2 linked regions of the Drosophila melanogaster genome follow. The protein of the gene in region 1 interacts with the protein of each later gene in a pairwise test. Each region holds a gene or a part of one and is shown on either strand. Other genes may lie near its edges.

Region 1 (5,566 bases):
GGATTTGTTAATCTCTCGATGTGCGTAGACCACGTAATGTATTTATTATGTTTAGTTATAGTCCTATGATAATGTGAATTTACAATTATGTTTATTATTATTACTCTCTCGTTTTCCTTCTTATTTTTTTTTTGTTCTCTTTTTTTTTTGGCCATTTACATGTAGCAAGCGCTTAGTTTAGATTTGTGTGTATTCCATATAATAATTAATAATACTATGCAACTAAAAACGCTCTCTCGTTGTTTATTTGATTATACTTTCTGTGTCTCGTGGCTGTTGAGCAAACAAAAGTGTTGGGCGTCTCAAATAGAAGCCACATATATCGAGCAAAGTATATACGCTAACAAGAAGATGCATTCCATAATAAGTACGATAGAACGATAAATTATCAATGTTTTCTAAACACATTTAATACGACAACAACACAGCTCGGCGAACATAAGCTAGATGAAAAATTGAAAATAAATAAATGCGTATGTGAACTGGAAGATTCATCAAAACGTTTAAGTGTACAACTAAACTAAATGAACAAATTTAACAAATTTATCGAAAACAAGCATAATAAAAGCAAATTGCATTTTTCCCCTTTTCAAAATTACTCAAATCATTTCTTGTGCGAATGCGGTGGTTTTGAATCGAATTATGTGGAAGATCTTAAGATATTCTCTTATTTAGTGGTTTGTATTACATAGTTGTATCTTTTTTGGCAGACTTCAAATTGAGTGTAGTCATCGGATAGCCATGGCAAAAATAGTCGTACTTATTGGCTTATTGAAATTACTCACACATAATTCGAGAGTTGACCAACTTTGGCGGTGACTTTGAATCGCGAATTGCATGATAATTTTGTTTTACCTGCCATCTGGGTTTATTAATTCTCAAACGAGGTGTCTATTGAATCGCCATCGCAACAGGTTATTTGTTTAGTTTTGAATACATTTCAGCAATTAGTCCCACTGTACTGGGTTTATCAGAAGCTGTAAATTTGGTTATGCCTGTTTTTTTTGTGTTTCACTAAATCGGTTTATTACCGTCTCTAATATGTGATTCAGTCCGATTGCCTCCATACGCTGCGTCTGCGGTACAGTGACCACAAGCTATGGTGGCCACACAAAATATGTATATATCGAGTAATTATTAATCTAATTATTTCAATTTAATTACTAAAATTACATATAAATTGAGATATTTATATATTTAACCAGAAGCGGTTACCTTATCTAGATACACCCGTACCATCCACACTTCTACCCTTTCCCGTGGCAATGATCATAAATATAGTTCAATCGTCAAATATTTGCGCACTCTAGACAATTTATGAGTGCAATTTGTTAAACAATATTGCGAATTAGTTGTGGCATTCCGCACCGTTAGATTATCAATTTGCGGAGCACTTGGTGAGAGAAGTTTGCCCATGGGGGGGTTGGGTTTGGGTTTGGATGTGGGTGGCTGCGTTGGTTTGGTTTACCTTATCAGGTAACACATGTAATTATTGAAAGGCGCTGCTCGATCGAAATGATCGGATCGGCGGGCGAACGAGTTTGGCTCTTGACTTTGCCAGTTGATTAAATTTTGTTTGACTTTTTATTCGTGTACACTTGGTGCTTTAAAACAAGGTCGAGAATTTTGCGGAGAGCGACGAGAAGGGAGTCGGTGCGAGATTACGCCTAATTAGCCAGGCAAACAAATGCGATCCACGAAGTGGGCTTATGGCTAGAAAACGAACTTAATTAACTCATTCAGTGGGGCAACAGTCGCAGAGTTCAAATAGCTTTTAACGTTCGGTATACGGGGCGTATTAGCAATATCTGCGTAACCAGCGCACCCGGATCACAAATACACTGAAAGATTTGAATTTCAAAAACCGAAATTCTAGCACAATTATTTGGGGCTCAGCATGATGATTTAAGTTTTTGATATCTATATTTTTCATTTACACTGTTAACTGATTAATTTAGCCATAATATATATGTATGTGCAACTGTGATTGAGCATTTTTTTTTTTTCGATCGGTGTGTGCGATTATCGCCGACCGATGATAAGCGCTGATTAAAGGCAAACAGCGATGGCAATCGAAGCCGCCCGCTCACTGCCCGTCTCCCTCTGTCCGGCCGCCCAGCGCTCTCTTTCGCTCCGCCGGCGATTTCGGGTTCCGGTTGCCGCGCTCAACCCTTTTTTTCATTCGCCAGTGGAACGCGATCGCGTTTGGAACGCAGCCGCTGGAACTGAGAAGCGGCCGGTGAAATGGCTCAACCATCGCAATCGGGAGCCGCGCAGGCGCTCAACGGCCAGCATCCGGAGTTGGCCTTCGCGGATGCGGACACGGACGGAGATGAGCGACTGGAGGAGCATGGGCAGGAGCAGGAGCAGCTCCAGCTACTGGGTGCCATGCCCAGGAAGCAATCTCTCAGCGAGCGACGCAATGTGGATCTACCGCATTTGAAGATGGTCAACGAAAAGGAGCCGGAGTCGGCGACGCCGTCGCCGGAGGCCTTTGCACCGGGACTCCGACGCAATTCGATATCCATGCCCTCGGGCATTAATGCCCTGGATCTGGAGGCACTGCGTCTGCGACATCAGATGCAGCCGCAAGATGCGCTGCACGAGGAGATTGTAAGTACTGCACGCTTTTCATTTGAATTCATCAGAAAAATCTAGCATTCAGCATTGAATTCATCAGTGAATATTTTGTACCAATGTAAAATGAAGAATCTGGCGTAGGAGGTACATAAAAAGATTAGTTTACGACCCAGTTTATATCCATAGAAATTCCTCGAAAGACAAGTCGCTTCGGTCGCTCAGTTGCTTTAAAACAAAACTATTTTAAGTGGAAAATGTACATAAAACATTAAACAAATTAAAGGTTTAATTCATTCGTAAAGTACATAATCTTTGGAAAGGAGCTACCTTTAGAGGGTATTTAGAGTGCCGTTTTGCCATTTTTTTTTTCTTTTTTTGAAATATATAATTGCAGCAAACCAGTTGAGCAGTTAAGCCCCATTCGAAATTAAAATACAATGCGTAATTAAGCGAGGCGTCATCGCCTCTAGTCTGTTTCCTCGCGCTCGGCGAATCTCGTCGATTTACAGAAAAGTTACCCAAAAAAAAAAAAGATACAAACGTTAATTGTGCCTTAATTATATGAAGTTGGCAAACAATAAACATGTGACCAAAAACCCGAAATCCAGTTAATAGTCACATGATGGTCCTACGGTACAAATGGGCACCATTAATTTAGCACATTCACTAATCCAAAAACAAAATATATTTCTAAAGTGTCCATTCAATATATTAGTATATCACATTAAATGCCCATTAATATATGCATCGTGCTCCAAATACGAACTCATAGCTTTCGACATTTGCATAAACATTTATGCTAACAAGAATATTATCATTTAAAAACACTTTAATTTGGTACAAATTAAAACGAGTTGCCGTTTGAGGCAACCACTCAATCTTTAAACTTATTATATAAGTATATGTTTTTTATTTGTATTTTTTCATTTCAACAAAGACGCATGTAAGCGCGAAGCAAAAAAAATATGATTGATTGCCGATCTTTCGCACAAATATTTACATTATTCCGAACCCTGTGAATTCCAAACTAGAATATCTGAATTATTAGCGCATACGATATTTTTCCGTGGGAGATTTTTGTCTATTATTTTCGATGTGTTAAACACTCAAACTCATTACTGGTGTCGGGAAGTAGCGACGAATGCCGTGCGCTAATTATAGAGCTGCAAACAAGCCGACGGGCGGACGGAGGGGGCGTGGCCAGGCCAACGAGGCGTATGTGTGATGTGACCAAGCAATCAACTGTCACATAGCGAGAATATAACACATACGCAGTGTGGTCAGTGTGAGCAATATGCCCAAAAGTATGCAATGCGAAACGCAACTTCTTTGATGGCAGGCAAAATATAAATTTTCGAAGAGAGGTGAGAAAATGTGGAATGAACAGAAATATTGAAAGGGTGACATAAATGTCACACCACGACGATTTAATTAGACAGATTCTCTCTGTTTCATTTCAAGCTATTCAAATAACATTTGATTTTGGAACGAAGCTCATTTTAAATTGGAATATTTAGCATTCAGTTTGTTCAAATTACTTGCAGTGCATTCATATTTATGGCCATTCGTCATGAAGTACGGCTAATATACCAAGACCGCAGTACGTCGCCAATCAGGGTAGCCGCAATTAATTTACGACTACCGGATTATTCTATCAAAATCAAATTCCGCACTCTTTCGAGCCGACTCAACTAGCTCATGATTGTTCTGAGTGTGGGTGTCGATATTTTCACTCAACGTAGCGCTGCCGACGCCGACTGCGGCAGAGGCTGCGAGAGCGAAGCGATTAAAACGCATAAATTGAGGCTTCAAAAACAATATTCAGGCAATAGCGAACCAGCAATTATCAACGGTTAACAGTGCGATCGCGGCACTAACGTCGTTCGGATCGGTTATAATTATTTGGCAACTCGAAAATATCGGCGATGCGAACTAGGTCAATCAAAGTTAACAGCAAACTAATAGAACAACGACTATCCTAATTAAATATAAACAATTTGTTTTTGTTTTACCTATTCTGTGACTCAGTGAAGTGTTTGATTGAAAACCCACAATTTAGTGCTGTGATAACATAAGTATTGCACGGTATAATCGTTGAGTGTCCACAATGAGCTCATCCAACAGCCGATTCATCCTCTCGAGCGTTCCCATCGAGGATCAGCAACACCCAGCACCGAATGTTAGACACAACGCCGTTGTGCTCGATATCAGTGCGGCTATGGATAAGGATAAGGCAGGTACTAAGTGTGGCTTGTAGCTTATGACGTACTCCATTCGATTCGATGCCATTTTTTCCGGGCTTGCCGTTATATTGTACGGGAGACACCTTGACTGGGTATTCTCTGCGGTAACGCCTCTGTGCTAATTGCACTCACCTTGCCCAAGTGCAGGTGTCAAAAGCCCAGAACCCATATGTATATGAATGGTATGGTATGGTATAGCCCAACCAAAATGCCATACTTTTCAGTTACAATCGCTTGCTGTTTGCTCTATCAATCCAGCTATCTGTGTAGTGTAGCAAAAAAGGAAATCTATCTGTTTGACTATATAAATTCTAATTTTTCAGATAGCCGACGATGCGACCTCCAGCCTGGGCACACCGGCCACTCCGGATACGCCGGGCACTACGGCGCCGACGACAACGGCCAATACGCCGGATAAGGCCATCAATTTCGCCAACGATGACAGCGATGACGAGTTCGGGAACGCCAGAAGACCAGTTCATCGGTGAGTGATTAGATCAACTACTACCACTACCACCGATAACTAACTAAGTAAATTTCATATATGCGGTTCTTGTATTTAAATAATTGGAGCTACTTTCAATTATGACCCACGCTGTCGTTGGGCACTTTTGCCCATTTGATTCATCGGGCAATTAGATTAATTAATCGAAAGTCGCTGCCTTTTGTCTCCGAACGACAGTAATTCAATTGTGGCGTCGGCACTGCCAGTGGAACGTGCCTTTCCCCACATTCCTCCCGAC
Region 2 (5,553 bases), on another chromosome or scaffold:
TAAGTTTTTAAAGTTGCCCAAAGTCGAATCCTTTAATGCCTTGCCAGCATTTTTGCTGCAATCGATTATCCTTTCAATAAAATGCCGCGGAGGCGAGAAAAAAAAACTTTTACCCCCTCGAAATTTAACGCTTTCGCCCGCCGCATCCCCCTGACCCGAAAAATTGGGGATATCTTTTGAGGTTGATTTATGCGCTGGCTTAAAAGCGAATTGTTGTGAGCTGCTAACTGGAAATCTGTTTGACTGCACGTACTTGTTCTGGTTCTCCACACATAGCCCTCCACACTGAAATCTCCATCATCGACTTTCCGGGCTTAAACGATTGCCAAACAAAGTCAAAAGAGAACGTCGTGCATGCCGAAGGATTCGGAATCCTTTGCATTTGAGCTGCGCTTTTTTTTTCCGCCATGCTTCTTGGTATGCCGGTCCCGGCAACTCAAGGATTTCGCAGCTGTCCTGGTCACAGTCACTATCTGCTGCCCGGATTTGGCCAAAGTGATTTACGACATGCTCATGCCAGGCATTCAAAATGCGGTCTAATTGAGACTCCTTAGATGATTAATCCTTGGCTAATATGGCGAAATTCAACAAGTCTACGCCGCACATTTCCCATAAATTTATTTTTCTTTTTGCTGCCGATAACGCCTTTGATTAATTAACACACTCGAAGTTTTTTTATGTACCTCATGTGAGAAAAGGAAAAAAAATGAAAAGTGATGCATATGCTCTAATAAGTGAGCCCAACAACGAATTGAGATGTTATCACGATTTATTCGGCTTGTTTACTTTATAATACACTAACAGAAAAATTTCTGTTCGATGTTTTCGACATTTGTGTGGGATTGTTATAAGTATTTCACACGTTAGTATGCAAGTTTGTGAAATACAAGACTTAATAGGTTGTGTACAATTATCAATCTAAATTTATTACGCCACTTATTAAATTTTTTAAATTATTTTAGAACGTTTGTCACCCCGCACAAGTGTGAACCTTGAATTATGCTCATTGCAAAACAAACTACAACTGCTGCGATTTTTTGCATTCTTCTTGTGGTTTTAATTGCTACCTAGAGTTTTTAATTAACGCCCCCGATTTAGCTGTATGTATTTGTCGGAGGGAGAAGGCCAACATAATTTGCAGACTTTTGAGGGGCGGTGGGAGGACTTTGAACTGGGCGCAGGAAGTGGGGTGGAAATCCTTTGAATTGCGGTTGCCATGACAAACTCTTATTTCGCCCGGCATTCCGTTGTCTGGCTAATTCAACGTTTGTGCAGCATGCAAAATATTATAAAATTCCGCCAAATGTCGGAGGTACTTCCCCTCCAGCAAAAAGACGGGCAAAAAAAAAAAACGGAAACAAAAACTAATAAACGACAACAGGTGAGGCTGAAAGCTGACACGTGGCATCAACAACGCTGAGTAAGAATTCAAGGCGCATTTTTGGGAGGAGTGGACTTTCAGCAATAACTGTGGCCCAAGCGCCGGTTGCCAACGCGACCAGCTGTGGAGTATAGTTGAAGTTTTTCGAGGGGAATCGAGGTCTGTTTCGGCATCGATGATAGCCCGCCTATCGATAGGCGGCAGGACCTGTTATCGCCGAGGGCGCCAAAAAGTGCTATCGTTCGGGGCCACAAGCTCCCGAGTTCCCTCATTCGTTGGTCTGCATTGAGGGCGTGGTCTGGCCTACGCACAGCGAGTATAGCCGACCCGCTCTAGCAACCACTTGGCAGGGCAAGCGCGAACGAGTCAGCATGCTTGGCTCGACGGCAAGATGGCTGTGGGCTCAGCTAGCTGTCTCCTTTCCTCGCCCGCCCGGGGCACTGGCACGGTGTGTGCTCTTTGCGATTTTTGCAAATCAATGCGAGAGATAAGCCCGCTGGCAGAGATAACGCTTGACTTAACCGTCAATTGTGCGAGGGGGTGGCGATTGAATGCGGCGCCAGTGCGCAGTCGTTGTTGTCGAAGTTATCAGGTTTCGTAGTCAATTCGCTTTGATTTTTTCGCACTGCCCTCAAATGCAAGCGAGCAGCGCTACGTATACGGCGTACAGCTCCCATACGATACAATAGTGCGATCCGAAACAATTCGATCCGTTTCCGTTTGCTAGTGCCTAGAAAGCCGTCGCACTGGCAGAGACCATTAACCGAATTGATCTAACTGGGAAGTGCCAAGGAATAACTAAGTGAAAATGTGCCCGAAGTGTAAAAATGCTATCAATTAAACAGTAGAAAACAAGGACGAGTGACCACACCCGAAGGTGGAAGCAAGCCGTGTCCTCCGCCGGACAGTGTCCGGCTGTCAGTTGGTCAAACAGTTCATCAATAAACGATTCGACTTCCGTTTCATTGCGTGTCCCTAAGCTGTGCATGTCTGCGTGTCTGTGAGTGCGATTGTGTGTGTGTGCCAGCTGTGCGCGTGTGTGTGTGTGTGTGTGGGAGCTAAGGAAACTTTTCAACTTCCGGCCAAGTGACTTGGATTTAATTTCTTTGGCTTTTTTATGGTCAAGGCATTTAATTAATTTTACTATGGCAATTTGATCGTCTGCTGGCCTGAACTCTGACCCCAGCCCATAACCCTGTGGCATACACAAAAAGCAAGGAGGCGGAAAAAGGACGAGCGATAGGAGGAGCCAGGTGAGTCCTTGGCCAAATGAGCAATAAAACTCAATGCAAATGCCCACACAATCGAACTTCGGCAGAAGTTTCTGCGGTTAAGGAAAGTGAAACGGATTTAGTTTTCTGGTTAGTCGCACAATAGTTAAATTACCCAAATAGCTGGACATTTGACAGGGGTCAAAGTTCAAGAGAGGGCTGGGCCAAATATTCACAACACACGAGCAATTAGTATACTTAAATGTTTTGCCAAGACAAAAATCAAACATTCATTTATGATTCCAGAAATCTTGATACATTGTAAGCAGTTTTATTGCATATGATTGTATACTATAAACATAAACAAAAACTTTGCTAAACAAGTTAATGACCATTTTCTCTTGTCAATTTAAAAACTTTTAGTATTGAAAATTAACAAGTACTTCCAAAAAAGCACAAAGTCACCTATGTATGTTTATATTTGCGTTGAGCAGAAGCCACCCATCCAAAAATAACAAATCTGTTTACTTGCAGCCACACCCATTTCCACCGAACAATTGAGATGTAATTTGCACCGCAGGTGAACTTCAACTCCAACGTTCTGTGATAGACGAGTATACGAGCAGGAACTCCCATTGGGATTCCGCCACCACCAGTCGATATCGATTCCCGATTCAATCAAATTGGATCCCGAATCCTAACTTTCGGAGCAGCAATCAGAAACAGCGACAAACTGTCGACTCTGTCGATCCGCAATTTCTCGGCAAACATGCTGAACAATCTTGGGGCCAATGTGCTGGGTAAGTTACGCCCCCAATCCTCGATAGCGTTTTAAGTGCGGGCTGCGGGCGGGAGCTGCGTATAATGTTGCAATTAAGATCGCCAAGTGAATTGCGCTAATGTATAATAATGTGTGTATTAATCCATGGCATACGATCCGCCTGGCCATAATTAAACTAATTTCTTGAGCACACCCACAAAAGATCGGAGGGGTAGTTAGTCGTACTTCCGATCTGGCGATTGCCATCGCATCTCCCATGTCTGCTAAATGGCCTATAATTGAGACGTCTAACCAGATGGCGCCAGGTGTCGCGTGCATTTAGCAATAATTAAGTTGTGTATTTAACTAACTCGGCAAACCTTCTCCGATTCCCATTCCCATATGCCTATGCCCATTCCGAATCGAGTGTGGGTGGGTGTGTTTGTGTTAATTGATATAATTGCTCTTTTAAATATGCCGCAAATTGTGAATTACATTCACACATTCACCCGGCGCACGCACATAATTATCAAACTGTACTTGTGTCCTCATATTAATATATTAATAATTCCGAATACACATATGTACATATGTATGTGCGTGTGTGCAGGTGAATAAATTATTTTTACCACACTGTTGATCAACGATTCAAGCACTTTCAATTTTGGCAATCAATTTGTTGTTAGCCGTCCAACACTACCAGAAAATACAGTTTGCAAGTGCATTTGCAACTGCAACTGCAGCAGCCATGGATGAGTTATGGCTCGCGTTTATATTCAATTTTTATTGCCAGCATCCTTGCGTCCTTCGAAGCGTTGCCATTAATTACTTTTATTAATTTATTGCCATTTTTCACGCGCCAATTGTCGCCGCTCGGTGCACGCGGCGTATGCGTAATGTCCATAGTTGCCATTGAAGATGGGTGTTTAATTAAGGGCTAGCAAGCGAAACTGATCTGACGGTTTGCTATCTGCCATGGATTGCGACTGCCAAAGTTGGCTTTTAAAGTTTTCGCCGGCTTCAACTTTAGCCAGCTCCATTTGCCCACGAAGAACTATAAATTTCAATGAATCGCAGTGCGGAATCCTTTGGACAAATCCTGCCCGCAGTGCTGGAGTCTGCCATAATAAATTTCGTGAGCCTTTTTCCGAGTTTCGCACAACAGAGAGGCCAAAAAACATTTGCATACTGGGTGCGTGGCCGAGAGGGGCAAAAGTGGATGCCCCCCTAACCACCCCTTTACAATTAAGAGCAATTTGCATGCAAAAGAAATGGCAGAACTTTCCCCGGATTCGTATTGTCTCTCCCCTACTAATGCTTAATTTGCATGCAGCGAAAGGAGCTCGAATGGCGTTTCGTTTGGGCGCTTTTTTCGTGAGCCTCGCATTAATTAAATTAATTTCATGATTGCATTTGTAATTTGCACAGACCCCCTTCAGGTTTACCCCCACCCGTCCGTTGCATCCACGAAATATCTGCGCGTGCTTCGCTTTGTGCGTTCGGCATTTTTGCGGTGGCCTAGGCTAGTGAAATATGTGTGCTTAACCCCGCTGAACACCGCTTAACCCCCCACTGCCATATCCGCTTTGCATTGAAATGTTTTGCGGTTGCTGCGGATTCTGTTCCCAGTTGCGGTTAGTTGTTGGAGCAGCCCAGATTCCATGCCATGCCATGCCATGCCATGCCATTCCATTCCATTTCAAACCAAACCGAATCGGAGCGATCTGCATCGTAGTTTGCCAACTCGAGGCCCAAAGGCCAAAGCCTATGTCCTGCTAAAAACCGCACAATTTCCAAATTTCAATAATTATGCACATTGCTGAATGCACATGCAACTGACGGCGAATCTGGATGCAAGTGCTCGGCCATGAAAGTCCGTTTCTGGCCATTCGGCTGGCCATTCCGGCCAGGTCCATATATTTTGCGGGAGAAATCGCGTCGTTCGCTCCCAAAAACAGGCAAACTGATTTGCGCAAATTGTGCAAATTGCTTGCGCGATAAATTCATGTTTGCCAATTTTAATTAATTAATCGCTTTGTGCGGTTTTCATTTCGTTTCGCTCCTCTTTCTCGCCGGACCAACTAAAATGTTCGCTTCGGGCCAGATGTAAATCTACGTATCTGCGTCCTGTGTATCTGTGTTGCCACTGCAATGTTTACAGTTTCGTATTAACACTATCGCAATTTTGGCCAGGTAGCAAA

The links. Proteins that work in one complex are often made in the same cells at the same time.
Region 2: the proteins of CG33080 (region 1) and otp interact in a two-hybrid assay, tested with the Drosophila melanogaster proteins (one large-scale study listed by BioGRID).

The regions. Positions count from the first base shown.
Region 1 is NC_004354.4:5,714,393-5,719,958, reverse strand, and holds the start of CG33080 (uncharacterized protein), read left to right. Parts: upstream 1-2,180; 5' UTR 2,181-2,244; coding exon 2,245-2,613; intron 2,614-4,486; exon of another isoform or gene 4,487-4,687; coding exon of another isoform or gene 4,688-4,813; intron 4,814-5,146; coding exon 5,147-5,307; intron 5,308-5,566.
Region 2 is NT_033778.4:20,899,867-20,905,419, reverse strand, and holds the start of otp (orthopedia), read left to right. Parts: upstream 1-2,005; 5' UTR 2,006-2,634; intron 2,635-3,126; 5' UTR 3,127-3,361; coding exon 3,362-3,392; intron 3,393-5,553. UniProt on the Drosophila melanogaster protein: May be involved in the development of the central nervous system.